3 linked regions of the Ovis aries genome follow. The protein of the gene in region 3 purifies or fractionates together with the protein of the main gene of each other region. This does not show direct contact. Links are inferred from orthologs where the notes say so. Each region holds a gene or a part of one and is shown on either strand. Other genes may lie near its edges.

Region 1 (4,874 bases), about 41 Mb from region 3:
TGAAGAATGTTGTGATTTGCACTCAGTTCCAGTGCACCAATGTTTATATGAATATAGTCTTTCAGGAAATCTTCAGCAAGCTGTCTTACTTCTTTTGGCCAAGTAGCACTCCACATTAGGGTTTGCCTATCAGGCTACAGATTTTTAGATTAAAAAAAAAAAAAAACCATTGTATTTCAAGAACAAATTTACAGCTTAGTTTGAAGACATGATAACATTTAAAAGGGCACTCACTCTGATCTGGTCCACAATCTTCCTTATTTGGGGTTCAAATCCCATATCAAGCATTCTATCTGCTTCATCAAGGACAAGGTAGGTGGTTCTTCTTAGATTGGTTTTCCCACATTCTAAAAAGTCTATCAGTCTTCCAGGTGTTGCAATACAGATTTCCACACCTTTAATTAAACACACAAAAGTTACCATGACATCCAGAACTTCCTGCATGATCAGTGACAAATAAAACCTTTTTGGTTACATACCTCTCTCCAAATCACGTATTTGTGGTCCCTTGGGAGCACCACCATAAATGCAAGTAGACTTCAAGCGACATGCTCTACAGTATTCAGCAGCTACTTGCTGCACCTGTTGGGCCAGTTCCCGAGTAGGTGCCAGCACCAAGCACTAAGGAAAGAGAAAGTGGAACACCTTTAGGAGACCCCTGAATTCTAGTTTTGAAGTGCTAATTTACTGTTGCTACACTAGCAGATGATATACATTGTCAATACCCAAAGCAGCTTTGTCCCTTCCTACACTGAAAAACATAACCTTCCATATAAAACCACCAGAATTTTCTTTTGCTGTATATTCTACAAATCTCTACGCTGTTAACCAAGTTAAGAGAATACAATGTACACTTACAATAGGCCCATCACCTCTCTCTAGGAATGGTTGATGATTGATGTGGACAATGGCAGGCAGCAAATACTATACAAAAGAAAAGCAAACAAAAAAAGCCATATTAAAAACACTTCTGGTTTCTTTTAATTCCCAACCCATTTTTCTTCAGGACCTGTCACCTAACTCAAAGTTTCCCAAACTTACAGACAAAGTCTTCCCAGATCCAGTTTGTGCTACCCCAACCATATCCAATCCACTCAGAGCAACCGGCCATCCCTGAGCTTGAATAGCTGTGGGTTCAGTGAAGTTCTGCCTTGCAATCACATCCATGACATTTGCTGTAATGTTAAGAATTAAGTAAACGTCAATAATGCCATGAGAAAGGGATTTTTTTTTTTAAGGTGGGGAAAACTAGCACTTACCAGGGAAGTTTGCCTCATAAAAATTCAGGACTGGCTTTGGGCAGTTATGACCTCTAACTGTAATTTCCTTGCTTCTTCTGTATGTCTCCACCTCTTGCTACAAAAGAAATTTATAAAATTCAGTTATCTCACGAGGACTCCCCCTAACTAAACACACGACCAACACACCCCTAAGTTAATAATTATCAACATTAACATTCCTTTAAGTTTGCAAGACATTTCTAGTCAAACTTAAATGTCACTGAGTTACAAGCTGAAAAAACCACATGAAATTACTCACTGCTGTACGCCTAGCCAAATCGGGGTGTTCTTGATAAAAATTCTTCTCAAACTTGGGCAGCTCATCAAGATTCCACTTCTTTTTAACCAGTTTCTCTCCAGGGTTTCCAAACTTCTTTCCAGATAAGGGCCCTGCCCTACTACCTCCAAATCGAGGAGCACCAAACCTAAAATTTGAGGGGAAAAAAAATTGCATTTTCAAACATGTACAGACTTATTTTACCATCCCTGCGCACATGCTAAAACTCAATGAAAGATTCTGGAGATGCAAGTGCTGTCCTCAGTGATGGTCATTCTTTCAAAAGCCAGTTAGTACTACATCTCCCTCATTTCCCGTTACACGAAGTACACACCATTGAAAACAAATCAACAGCCCGGGATTTACTAGGTTGGAAACTGGCTGGCCAAGCTCTAGGAGTTCAGATACAAGGACAAACAACAGCTGGTGGATACTACTCTTTCACACAAGCGAAAGAATTAAATGCCAAAAAAAAATAAAGCAGAAGCTTAACACAGATGTTACTTAGCACCTGTCCTGAACCAAGAGCTCTGATTTTAATAGGTAGCGGAACAACACAGGTAAGTGAGTGCAGAACACGGCGGGTGGCTCGGGGACAGTTAGGCAAGCCAATCGAGTTGGGGGGATCCCTCAAAACGGTTTCCTACCAAGGTAGCAAAATTATATAACGAAAGGAAAACGAGGAGGAGGAGCCGGAGACTACCGGGGGAGGAGTCCCGGCCCGGGCGGAGTCCTTCGGGCGGCGTTCCCGCTGGGGCGGCGCTTCCCCCTTTGTCTCGCATTTCTCTCTGCGCCACATTTTCTCGACGCTGCCATTTTGAGCTCCTCCGCCGGGCGGGGTAACAAAGGCGCCGCCGCCATGTCCGCCGCCGGCATTTTGTACCCACGGCTCGGCCACATGGCCGATTCCCGCGGCACCGGCCACCCTCCAACCCTCGCCGCATTAACGGCTTCGGAGGCGGCCCCCTCGGCACCCACAGAACCCCCAGATTCCTTAAAATTCCTGTAAGCTTACACCTAATAGTGGCGACTTCGCCTCAAAGCGCTGCGCTTTCCTCCCCTCAAAAAATGTGCTCGAAATTCTCCGAACAGTTGCCAAATCATCAAGGCCCCGATACCCCCTCCAAAACAAAAAAGAATCTTGAGGACCGTTAACATGAAAAGTCCAGGTTTGGACAAATAACAAAATGGCGCAAGCCCTTTTCGATGGCGGAGGCCCGAGAATAGTCTTTAGAAGCCGAGTTGCCCCCGCCACCCCACCCCCGCAACCCTCATCGGTCTCCCATCCCCCACCCGCCGGGCCTGACAGGTCGGTTCCCACACTCACCCTCGATCCCGGCCACGGTCTCGGTCACTCGAATAACCCGACATGGCGTCAATGGTTGCGGTTGGCGGGAAGCGAAGCGGAGAGAATCGGGTGCGACGAGTCGCTGGAGGTGGCTCCGGCGACGGCAAAGCCTTGCGGGGGCGGCAGCGGCGGAGGGACGACGATGACAGAAGCCAAGGCTGCCCAACAAGAGACCGGTGGAAATGAATGAGGTGCCGGCCGCGTCCCGGCAGCCGGTTTTATAGCCTGGCCCGCCTCCTCCGCCGCAGAGAATGCTGGGAGCCGCTCTATGACCTAATCACTCCGCCCCTGCGCAGAGCTATTAACGCCTGCCGGCGTTCCGGGATCCGCCATTTTCTCGCCCCTCCCCCCGGGCCCTTTGCCGACTTTTCGCCCCTTTCAAGGATAGGACCCGCCCCCACCCCGCGGTCCTCCACTGGGATGCCTAAGCCTGCACTCTCTTGACTTCACCTTTTTCTGGTCTTTCACACTTCAGGGAAACCACTGCGCCCTTTTCCAGGTCTAGCCCAGACAATAAAATGTCCAGCCCAGGTCAACTCCCTCGGTCCCCTTGAAGATGTTTACGTCTCCAAAGAGCCTTTACACCCATTACTAGGGGCGACAGGAAGGCGGAGCCTGACATTGTCACGTGGCTGCCCCGCCCGCCGAGTGAGCGGGACGCACTACTTCCCCAGTTGGCGTCGGCGGAGGAGTACAAGACGAAATAGCTCACCGGAAGTGCCGTGCTAATGCCCTCGGGAAATCGGCCGGGGCTGTTGGGCGACCCGAACTGTCAAACCCACCCACCCCAGGACCCCTGAGCGGGGTCTGGCTGGTGAAAAATGGTATCTAGAGTTCGCAAACCGCCACCTCGGCACGTGCCGCCAAAGGAAGTACTCCCGCGGTGACCAATCAGCAGCGAGAAGCCGTTTTAACGTCCCTCCCTCCTTCACCGCACCCCTTCCCGGCACTTTCGTTTGCTTCCTCTCCTGTCAGCCCTGGGTCTGCGCCGTGCGGCCCTTTCAGGACGCCGTCCCGCGCGCGCCCGGCTAGGAGTCCGGCGGCGACTTGCCTCCGCGACATGGCCGGCTCAGAGGCTGGTGAGTCTCTGCGTGGAGCCCCGTTTGTGTGTGGGCTCAAGTACCTTTTCAGTCCAAGTCCTGAACGCCCCTCCCCATCTTATCTTGAGGCTTCGGGTGGGTGTGGGCTGCCGGCGGGGCTCGTGAGACAACCCGGTCGTAGTTGGCGGGTTCTCTGGCTGGGGCTTCTTAGTCCCGCTCCCTGGCGCATTCGAAGTTGTCGAGCCTGATTTGGGGCGGGGAGACAAGGGCCCTGCGGCGAGGCCCGCAGCACGCGAGCATGGTGGCTGTAAATGATCAGAAAGTGTCTTTCCCTAGACTAGTATTTTCTAGGGAGTGTGCCCTCTGCTCCTGCACTGCGGAGCCTGAGGCTGAGTATTAGCACTCTAAAAATCTATTGTCATCCCAAAGCGGAATAGTGGTGGATTTTCCCGCTTCAGAGCTTCCTACGGTTACCGGCTTTCTGTAGCGCAGTTTTTGAAAAGAGAGTTGATTGGGTTGTCTAGGACGCTTTCATCTTTTTTTCCAAGACAGCGTTCAAACCGGTTGTCATGGTTTGATCTGCTGTAAATAATGGGCACTGGGAGAGGGAGTTAAGGTGCCTTGACACGCCCTCACATACACATGTTTATTTCTGGAACATACTGAAGATAACGTGCACAATAAAAGAACTTGCCCCTTAATCGCCAATTATTTCAGGGAACAAGTGTTTCAGGTTTGCTACATTACCTTTGGTTGAGAAGCCCTTGAAATAATTTGGCTAATCCCAACGGAGGGGTGATACACAGGAAACTTCGATAGGGTTAGTAATGTGCTAGCTCTGAATTTAAAGGCGTTTTTATGAATTTCCCATGTCTGTTTTCATATACGTCAAGTGTAATTAAAAATAGAACTAACAAATCCAGTAGTGT
Region 2 (4,885 bases), on a different chromosome or scaffold from region 3:
ACTTAGTGCAGGATCATTGTCTTGAGTCTAGAGAGGTCAGACAGGGTAGTACATAAGAGCACAGGCTTTGGAGTCAGATTACCAATTTACGTTCCAGCTCTGCCACTTTCTACCTATATGACATCAGGCAAGTTACTCTCTGTCCCTGTTTTGTCACGGGAAAAATGAGGCTAATAAGATTATTCAGTTCATAAGGTTGTTGAGAGAATTAAGCAATTTATTTCTTGTAAAGTCCTTTGAATAGTCTGGCAAAGAAACAGCACAAGTGTATTTGATACTGTTATTATTGGTTGGTTCTGAATGTCAATTACTGCTTCATCATTATCAATTTATTTTGCTGTGTGTTGTTTGGGTAATGAATAAAACTTAATGCAAAATTTTATCAACAATATTTTTGAACCCTGACTTTTCCAGTAACTAGTCTTTAAAAACCTGTATGTGACTGATACATTTTAGACACAAATTATCACCTCCACTCATCCTCCAAAGCAGGTATGGACAAAAGTCCACTGTATTACCACCACCCTCAACCAATCTTGTGCAATGATATTTCATTGTTATTGTTGAGTTTGCTATAGAAAATAAAAAAGGATGAGGAAAGTGGGCCACTGAAGAGAGCCACTGAGCTAGGGGATTGGAAGCAAGCAAATCTAAAAATGAATTTCAAATCAATGAGTTTTGTTAGTTGTTCTGTTCTCAGAAAAATCACTTTTATTTACCCAAGTTAACATTTTGAAAACTGAAAGTCACTCAGTCGTGTCTGACTCTTTGCAACACCACAGACTATACAGTCCATGGAATTCTCCATGCCAGAGCACTGGAGTGGGTAGTCTTTCCCTTCTCCAGGGGATCTTTCCAATCCAGGGATCAAACCCAGGTCTCCTGCATTGCAGGCAGATTCTTTACCAGTTGAGCCATGAATTATATGTATTTTAATGATTCGCATTCGTCCATTGAATATTTAGATTTATAAAAGTGAGAAGTATAACGGCATAAGTCGGGCAGTCATAATTTTTTCATGTTTTCTTTTCCTTTATTTAAGAAATGGTTCTTGAGCGTCTGCTATACTCACGGAAATTTAAAACAAAGCAGGGCATTTTGGAAAGGTTGGTGCCTTAAAATGATTCTGCTAAAATGTGAAGGCGCTGCTTTTTATTACCAAATAATACATGTAATAAACATCCATGAGCCCCACTCCATCTCAGAGCTTTACCCCTAGAGGTGAGGAGAGGCTCAGGGAGGGGTGACACTTAAGGACTAGATGAAGTTCTTTGCAGATATTACTTGGTAATAAAAATGCTGAGCATTTATTGGTTACTTTTTTTAGGCTGCAAGGAAATGCCCTGGTGGAAAATATCTAAAGCAAACTGTCAAGTGTCCAGTTTTAAAACAGAGGACAATGCTTAGTGTACAATATTTTTGGCAGTATGATCCCCACTGTTCTCCAACTCACAGAAGCTTAAAACCTTGGCACTAGCAAAGGAAACTGCACCATAGCCTTTGTGATATGTGTTATCTGCAAACCCACCCTACAGATGAAAAAAAGGACCTTCCTCCTCATCATTATATTCATATACCCTTTAATGCTTTCTTCATGTATCTATCAATATCACCTTTTATGTGACAATGCTAAGCCACAGAGATATAAAAATGAATAACACATTCTGCCATTAACAGTCTGGCTCAATAGGCATTTATTGAGAGCTTCCCACATATTAACAACTGCAAAGGAATAGCATATACACATGTTATCTAGATTTCAGGGAGAGCTTTCTGAAGATACCAAAGTTAAATTTTAAGGAACTAGCAGGAGTTTCCTTGATGAAGTGGAGGGAGGGGAAGGACTTATCCAGGCCTATATCCAGAGTATGTGTGGGAGGCAGGAGCTGAAAAAACAGGCAAGAGCCAGAACATAACAGGCCTATACATCAAGCTAAGGAGTTTGGATTTTATTTTGAGGTGAATGGGCGACAACCGGAGGATTTTCAGACGAGGACTAACATGGACAGATGTTTTGTCATTGTCAGGCTCACCCAAGAGTGGACTTGGGTGACTGGAAGAAACCCAAGGCTTAAATGCTGACAAACCAGTTAGGAAGCTATTGCCCGTAATCTTGGTGAAGAATGATGGGAACATAAACCATGTCAGAGGCAGAGAGCATGGAGAGCAGAGACCTATTTGAAAAATAGTCTATAAATAGGCATGACAGGATTTGACTACTGGACATGCGGGGGTGAATTCCAGAGTTTCAGATTCCTCCCAGCCTCCTCCTTCCAGCTTAGGCAATTATTTGGCTAGTGATACTGATGAGTGCAGCAGGGCACATGAACGAAGCATACTGATTTTTTTTTTTTTAAAGGAAGGTTGGGGAGTCTGAGACCTGTGGGGCATCCAAGGGGAGTGGTGTATGAATCAGTTATAACTAGACTCTGCGCTTTCACGTTCAAGGCATTGACAAGACTACTCCATAAGCATGTGTATCTGGCACTCTCATTTCAAAAGAAACAAGGCTTACCGATTTGAAAAACGAATATTTTTCATGCTAACCCCCCAGACACACGCTGAAAATCTAAGAGTTTAGCATTAATAACAAAACATTATGTTCCCTGCTGTCAAAATGACACTGCAGATCAATGTATTTAATCTAGTAAGCCAAACGCAGGGTTGGATTGGTTTCCTCCTCACACCCCTAGAAAATAGCGGTGTACCTGGTGTTTAGATCCAGGAATTCCTTTTAGCAGGTTGGAAGAGCAAAAGCTGAGAAATGCGCCCTCCCGTGGCAATGGAATGAGGGGGCTCAAGTACCCTTTTTTTCACCAAACAAAGCCCTGTAAAGAAATGCAATTTGTGGGGATGAGAAGGCCACAAAGCTCGTACTGCTATACCGCAAAACCAAATGAACCCTCCCAGAGGCCGGGACCCCTTACCTGTCACGTCGGCCGAAGGACAATTTCTCTTTCTACTCAACAAAACACAACCCCAGACTTGACAGCTTGCAGTAAGTCCCGCCCGGCAACAATTAAACACCTTGCAAGCCAAAATGCGTACACAATCCGTAAGGTCTCCTGCCGGCAGGGCCGGGCTCGCACCACGTGGGTGGTTGGGGCCAGCAGGAGGCACCAGCCGAAGGCTGGAGTGGGAGGCGTGTTCTTACGGGGGAGGGCGGAGCCTTCGCAGTGGGCGGGGCTTAGGAGGACCTGGGCTACCAGCCGCCTCTCGCCTACTTTGCTCGTTTGCCTTCGCCCTTCGAGCCGCCACGTAATGCCACGTCGCCGCGCATGCGCATCTCAACTGGTGGCGGACGCTGTTTCCGGGCTTAGGGGGCTGGAGCGGCCGCCGAGTAGGCTGTGGCGGTGGCGGCCGGGGAGTGCAAAGTGCAGGCTTGGGGGTCGGGCCCTGCGGAGGACAGGGGAAGTTATCTCTTCTTTCCCGAAAAGGCCGGTAGAGCCCGTGGCTGAGCGGCAAGATGAATTTCCTCCGCGGGGTTATGGGGGGTCAGAGTGCCGGACCCCAGCACACAGAAGCCGAGACGGTGAGAGGAGCGGCGGGTCCGGGACTTGGGAAGGGTCCGGGCAGAAACCGGGACGGAGGACATAGGGGCCCGGAGGTCACCCCCCTGCGCGTCACCGTGGGCCGGGAGTCTACATGCCGCCTCCCCTTTTGCCCCCGTGCCTCTTTTCCTCTCCTGAAACCCGCAAGTTATTCCCTCACACCCGCAGCACAACCCCCAGCGCGGCGGCTTGGCCCTGCTGACAGCAGCCGCGCCCCGAAGCTCCACAGGCCGCTTGGTGGTGGTCCGCGGTGGTACCTCCGGGAAAGGCATCCATCCTGGGCAGAAGTGGCCTGACCTGCCTCCCACGCCCTTCGGGGCCGCGGGCCTGTCCCTCCCTTTTCGCCAGTGTCTTCACTGGCGGTGATTAACCTAAAGTCCACCTCCCTCGCAGTCTGGAATGGGGCTTTGAGGAAAACTGCAGGAAGGTTTAAACCCAGCAGTTGACCAGAGCAAGTGGCTAAGAATAATACGATAGTTTGGGTCACAAAGCCACCTGCCCCTGCCCATTCAACTAGAGGCAGGTCGTTCTTTCAGGTGTCATTAGTTCGGACCCCGTTTTTCAGCCTCGCCCACTATTTGGGAAATACTCGCTTGGTCGTTGTGGGGATCTTTGGCGCTCAAAATGCTTTGGGAACACGCGTCCCTTCCATTCTCCCCATTCAGAAGTCTGAACTCGTGTAAACAGGATTTGCAGCGTCACTTTAAAAAAATTGTTAGCTACTCAACACAATTTTTGATAAGTTGGTTCGATTTTAGGTTTAGGATAAATCTCGAAGTTTGGTTAGTGTCTGTTAGGAATAAGTGTATGACTTTTTTTTAACTATTGGTTTGAGAGTAATTTTAGGTCTACAAAAAAGTGACAAAGTATGGCATTGTAAAAGTAAACTGTGGTTAGTATTTGTAGACACTACTGGATTGTCTGTGAATGTTGATCCTATGTTCTGTGTTACTAGGATCCTGAAGGTTCAATGATAGCTTTCATTTGCCAGGTTCTTACCTTGTGCTGGGTTCTGTGTTCTTTGTAGTTTACATTCTTATTTTCCTTAGCTCCCCAACCACCTTGTAGGATAGGTGATAGTATCCTCACTTTACAAGTGAACACTTGAGGATTAGAGAGGTGAAGTCACTTGACCTAAGTCACACTAGTAGTAATGGAGCCAGGATTCAAACAAAGCTTGCCTTACGTCAAAGCCTAGACTTTATTGCTGATGTCTGTATTTTAATACATATCTGGGAATTTGGGGAATTTATGTGATTATTAAAATTAATGTCATCTGAGTTAGAACTGTTTAAAGCAGAAGCTGAAAGCTGGTGAATCTGCTTTCCTTCATT
Region 3 (4,101 bases):
GCCTGAGGAATAACCCACAGGGGTTACAGATTATGTCCAGCAGGAAAGAGGCGCTTGTGACATTGACTCCCTGGAGACCCGCCCAGCCGCCTGGATCTACCAGGACCGAGGGGGGCATCCGGCTGGAGAGGCACCAGGAAGTGGGAGGCTTCCTGACCCACAAGGCAAACACCCCCACCCCTGTCCCTGGCCAACCCTGACTTCTCATGCCATCTGCCCAGCCTCCCGCCCTCCGCAGCTCCCCTCCCATCCCTTTGGCCCTGGGGGACCTAGGGCAACTCCCCAGGGGTCCCAGCTGCAGCACCCTCCCGGGGGGACCTGGGAAAGCACGTGGGCGGTTCGGCCGAGCATCCGTGGCCGGCCTACTTGGAGGAGCAGATGGAGAGCATGGCACCTGTGGAGAAGAGCCAGAAGGCGGGGTACACGGCCTCGGTGAAGTCCACCTTGTACTTGTACAACAGGTGGACCTTGTCAGCCGCGGCGAAGAAGAGCACGAAGCCGTGATCGCAGTTGAGAAGCACCCCCACCCGCGTGGCCTTGGTGGACGGCAGGGTTTTCTCCACGTTGTTGTGCCAGGCGGAGATCTTGGTGTTGAACCACTCCACACACCAGGACGCGCTGTTGCGGCCAAGCCGGCTCTCGGGGCCCTGCCGCTCCATGCTGCCGTAGCAGACGCCCACCCCGCAGAAGTTGTTCTTCTGAAGCTCCACCTCCCAGTAGTGAATCCCTTTCTTGTAGCAGTGCAGTCCCAGGACCTGCGAGCAGTATGTGAACCGCTGGGGATGCGGCCGGTAGTTCAGGGGCGTTTCCGCCACGGACGCGACGGTGTAGTTCTCGGACAGGGCCACCTTGCTGTGGGCGGTGTTGTAGTCCAGGACAACCTTAACCACATCTGAGGAAGCATCAAGGAGTCAATCAGAGGCGCTCCGAGCACTCCCACCTTGCCTCCTTTCTCTAGCTGGTAATATTTATTCATTTGTTCTTCCCATCCATTCAACCACCCTTCCAGCCCATTCATTCTGTCCAGCTCGTCAGACATCTGTCCACCTCTCTAACTGCCAATCAAGCCATCTGTGTGTCTATTAGTCACCCGTCTGTCTCTCTATTCCTCCACCCAAAACCACCTACGGAGCCCCTGGCTTATGCCAGGCTCTATACAGGACGCGCAGCCATGAACCAGATGCGGAGCCTGGCCTCGTGGAGTTCCCACTCCCAGAAGTAAGGCAAGCACATCAGCAGCGACAACAGTGAGGACTCCCTGCTCCACTGACGGGCAGGCACTCTGCTGGAGGGACACAGCCATGGGGGTAACGGGCCAAGGGAGGGGAGAGCACCGAGGAACACGTACTTCAGGGGTGGGCTGGAATCTGAGCCAAGCGAAAGGGAGATGAGAATTAAACAGGAGAGCAGGGGAGGGAGAAAGGCTGCGAGAGACAGTGAAGGCAAGCATGGAGTCACGAGGATGACGGACGTGCTGGGAACAGGGAAGCCGGGGCAGCTGGGAACACAGAGGCTGCAGCGAGAGAAGAGGGACCTCTGAAGCCACCAGTGCCGAGCCAAAGGGTCTCGACTTTAACTGGGGGCAGCGGGCAGTCAACTGAGGTCTGCCAAGCATAGCAATGACCTGAATAGAATCCTTGATTAGGACATAAGCCTGGCCTCCACCTCCTCCCTAGGATAGGTGCTCCTCCCTAGCCCTCCCTGCCCTTCCACTCACAGAGGACCCTGGACCAATGATAGAGAGCTGGGCAGACAGGGAAAATCCTGAGCTTAGAAATTTGGGAAGCTAGAGACCAGGGTTCTCTGCCACCCCCTGGCTCAGGGAAAGACACTTTGCACCTGGCCCTGGGCCTCCCCCAGGGCAAAATGAATGGCCTGGGAAAATGTCCTCTGAATACCCTAAGTCCCTAGAACTCCTTTCCTCTGCTTAAACAGCTGTACCGCAGAGTGCAGGGGTCTCCACAGACACGTGGCTCAGCACTGTCCCCAGCAGCCTGGCATCAATCACAGGGGTTGGGGGCAGGGGAGGCCTTTCCCAGCCAGGAAGCTCCAGGGAGGCCGGCCCTGATACCAGGTACCACAGTTCCAGCAACGGGTGAACCATGCCCACTGCACCAGAACCACGCCCACAGCTCCAGCAATGGGTGAGCCACGCCCACTGTGCCAGAACCACACCCACAGCTCCAGCAATGGGTGAGCCACGCCCACTGCGCCAGAACCACGCCCACAGCTCCAGCAATGGGTGAGCCACGCCCACTGCGCCAGAACCACACCCACAGCTCCAGCAAAGGGTGAGCCACGCCCACTGTGCCAGAACCACACCCACAGCTCCAGCAATGGGTGAGCCACGCCCACTGCGCCAGAACCACGCCCACAGCAGCTGTGGGAAAAGGAGGGCCAGAGCATACTTTGCAGAGAGAGGTTTCTGCCGCTGCAAGGAAGTGACCACCAGCGGAGGGTGCTCCGTGGGTGAAGCTATGGGTGGCCCGAGGCCTGGCCTGGAGGAAGGAACTGCCACCACTTCCAGGCTGGAAGCCACAGAGGAGCAGTAAGGGCACCCTCCAGGGGGCAGGCTGACCACGCCAGACAGAGGCAAGGACAAGCAAGGCAGCAGCTACTCACACTCCAGGAGCTCCGGCCTGGACTTGCTTAGGAAGTTCTCCAGCACCTTGGCGTTGAGAGATGCTGAGGTCGGTGGCACGGCAGGGGCTTTGGCTGCACCTGGAGGAGGAACAGAAAACCATTTCCTTGTCCAATGCATAAAATGAAAAGTGCTGCTTTTCACTCCTGCTCATTCCCGCTCCAAACAAATTCAGAGCATTCCACTGTCCACGGCCCACCAGAACTCACCCTCCTGGCCAGGTTGTTTGAGATTCACTAAGTGTTCCGAGGATCCAAAGGTGACAGGCTTGTTGAGTAAGGCAGAGGCTGGGATAAGGAAGACAGGTGAGTTGGGGAAACGACAGAGTGACCTGATGGCCTGGAACCCCTCCCACACTATTTCTCAAGAGCTGCCTCCACAAACACACACCTGGACCACCAGGGTGACATGAAAGAGTCCAGACAGGGGAACATGCATCATACTGGTCTCATGCATGTCCACTTATCCTCACGCCCAAGCCCAGACCCAGCGGCCAGCACAAGTCACAGTTATGGAGCCCATGCCCATCTCAGACCCTCCCCCAACACACACCAGCCCACAGCTCAGCTTTCCTTGCTGGCATTTAGTTCTGCACTTGGGTACTCAAGGAGCTAAAAGATGCAGAAATGCATAACTTACCAGGTTTCTTGGGCTTCTTCTCTTCTTCTGAAAAACAAAATTTTCAGAATTAAAATGTTTCAAAGCACAACACAACCATACTTTCAAACACCGTAATAATAATCGCTACATGAAGGTGACCCATACAAATAGAGCTAGTACATTTTACGTTGAAAAATATAAGGGGGTCAACAGGTAAATTAATCTACGGTCCTACATCATGGTTTTGGTGGTGAGGGGCTAATAAGGAACATGAATGGATTTCCTGGTGAAATGGAAATCTTTATCCCGATTTGCGTAATGGTAACACAGATGTATCGGAGAAGGCATAATGGTAACACAGATGTATCAGAGAAGGCAATGGCACTCCACTCCAGTACTCTTGCCTGGAAAATCCCACGGACGGAGGAGCCTGGTGGGCTACCATGGGGTCACTAAGAGTCAGACACGACTGGGCAACTTCACTTTCACTTTTCACTTTCATGCATTGGAGAAGGAAATGGCAACCCACTCCAGTGTTCTTGTCTGGAGAATCCCAGGGACAGGGGAGCCTGGTGGGCTGCCGTCTATGGGGTCGCACAGAGTTGGACACAACTGAAGTGACTTAGCAGCAGCAGCAGCAACACAGACGTATGCGTTTGTTAATCTAACTGTACTTTTAAGATCTGGACACTTTACTGTAGGTAAATCATATCTCCACAAAAGGAAAAAATGCAAAAACACACACACAAAAAAACCCACATAGAAAGCCAGCCAAAAAAAAAAAAACATGCTTGCCAGATATCACAATAGTCTTTATAAAAGTATCTGCAGTGTATATCTATGGGGACTGAGTTTAGCTA

What was found. The genes of interacting proteins can lie anywhere in the genome.
Region 1: the proteins of TRIM25 (region 3) and DDX5 purify together in Homo sapiens (affinity purification with western blotting; 3 studies listed by BioGRID, with this or other methods). This does not show direct contact. The link is inferred for Ovis aries from reciprocal best matches to the Homo sapiens genes TRIM25 and DDX5.
Region 2: the proteins of TRIM25 (region 3) and G3BP2 purify together in Homo sapiens (affinity purification with mass spectrometry; 4 studies listed by BioGRID and IntAct, counting the BioPlex papers as one, with this or other methods). This does not show direct contact. The link is inferred for Ovis aries from reciprocal best matches to the Homo sapiens genes TRIM25 and G3BP2.

Annotation. Positions count from the first base shown.
Region 1 is NC_056064.1:48,409,035-48,413,908, forward strand, and holds the start of DDX5 (probable ATP-dependent RNA helicase DDX5), read right to left. Parts: upstream 3,099-4,874; 5' UTR 2,929-3,098; coding exon 2,885-2,928; intron 1,706-2,884; coding exon 1,540-1,705; intron 1,357-1,539; coding exon 1,260-1,356; intron 1,176-1,259; coding exon 1,042-1,175; intron 925-1,041; coding exon 859-924; intron 622-858; coding exon 480-621; intron 396-479; coding exon 235-395; intron 135-234; coding exon 1-134. Other genes in the region: CEP95 (centrosomal protein of 95 kDa), read left to right, coding at 3,966-3,984. UniProt on the Homo sapiens protein: Involved in the alternative regulation of pre-mRNA splicing; its RNA helicase activity is necessary for increasing tau exon 10 inclusion and occurs in a RBM4-dependent manner. Binds to the tau pre-mRNA in the stem-loop region downstream of exon 10.
Region 2 is NC_056059.1:91,313,169-91,318,053, forward strand, and holds the start of G3BP2 (ras GTPase-activating protein-binding protein 2), read right to left. Parts: upstream 3,099-4,885; 5' UTR 2,928-3,098; intron 2,829-2,927; 5' UTR 2,709-2,828; exon of another isoform or gene 1-2,708. Other genes in the region: USO1 (general vesicular transport factor p115), read left to right, coding at 3,467-3,532.
Region 3 is NC_056064.1:7,414,633-7,418,733, forward strand, and holds part of TRIM25 (E3 ubiquitin/ISG15 ligase TRIM25), read right to left. Parts: intron 3,308-4,101; coding exon 3,281-3,307; intron 2,929-3,280; coding exon 2,851-2,928; intron 2,722-2,850; coding exon 2,623-2,721; intron 893-2,622; coding exon 363-892; 3' UTR 1-362.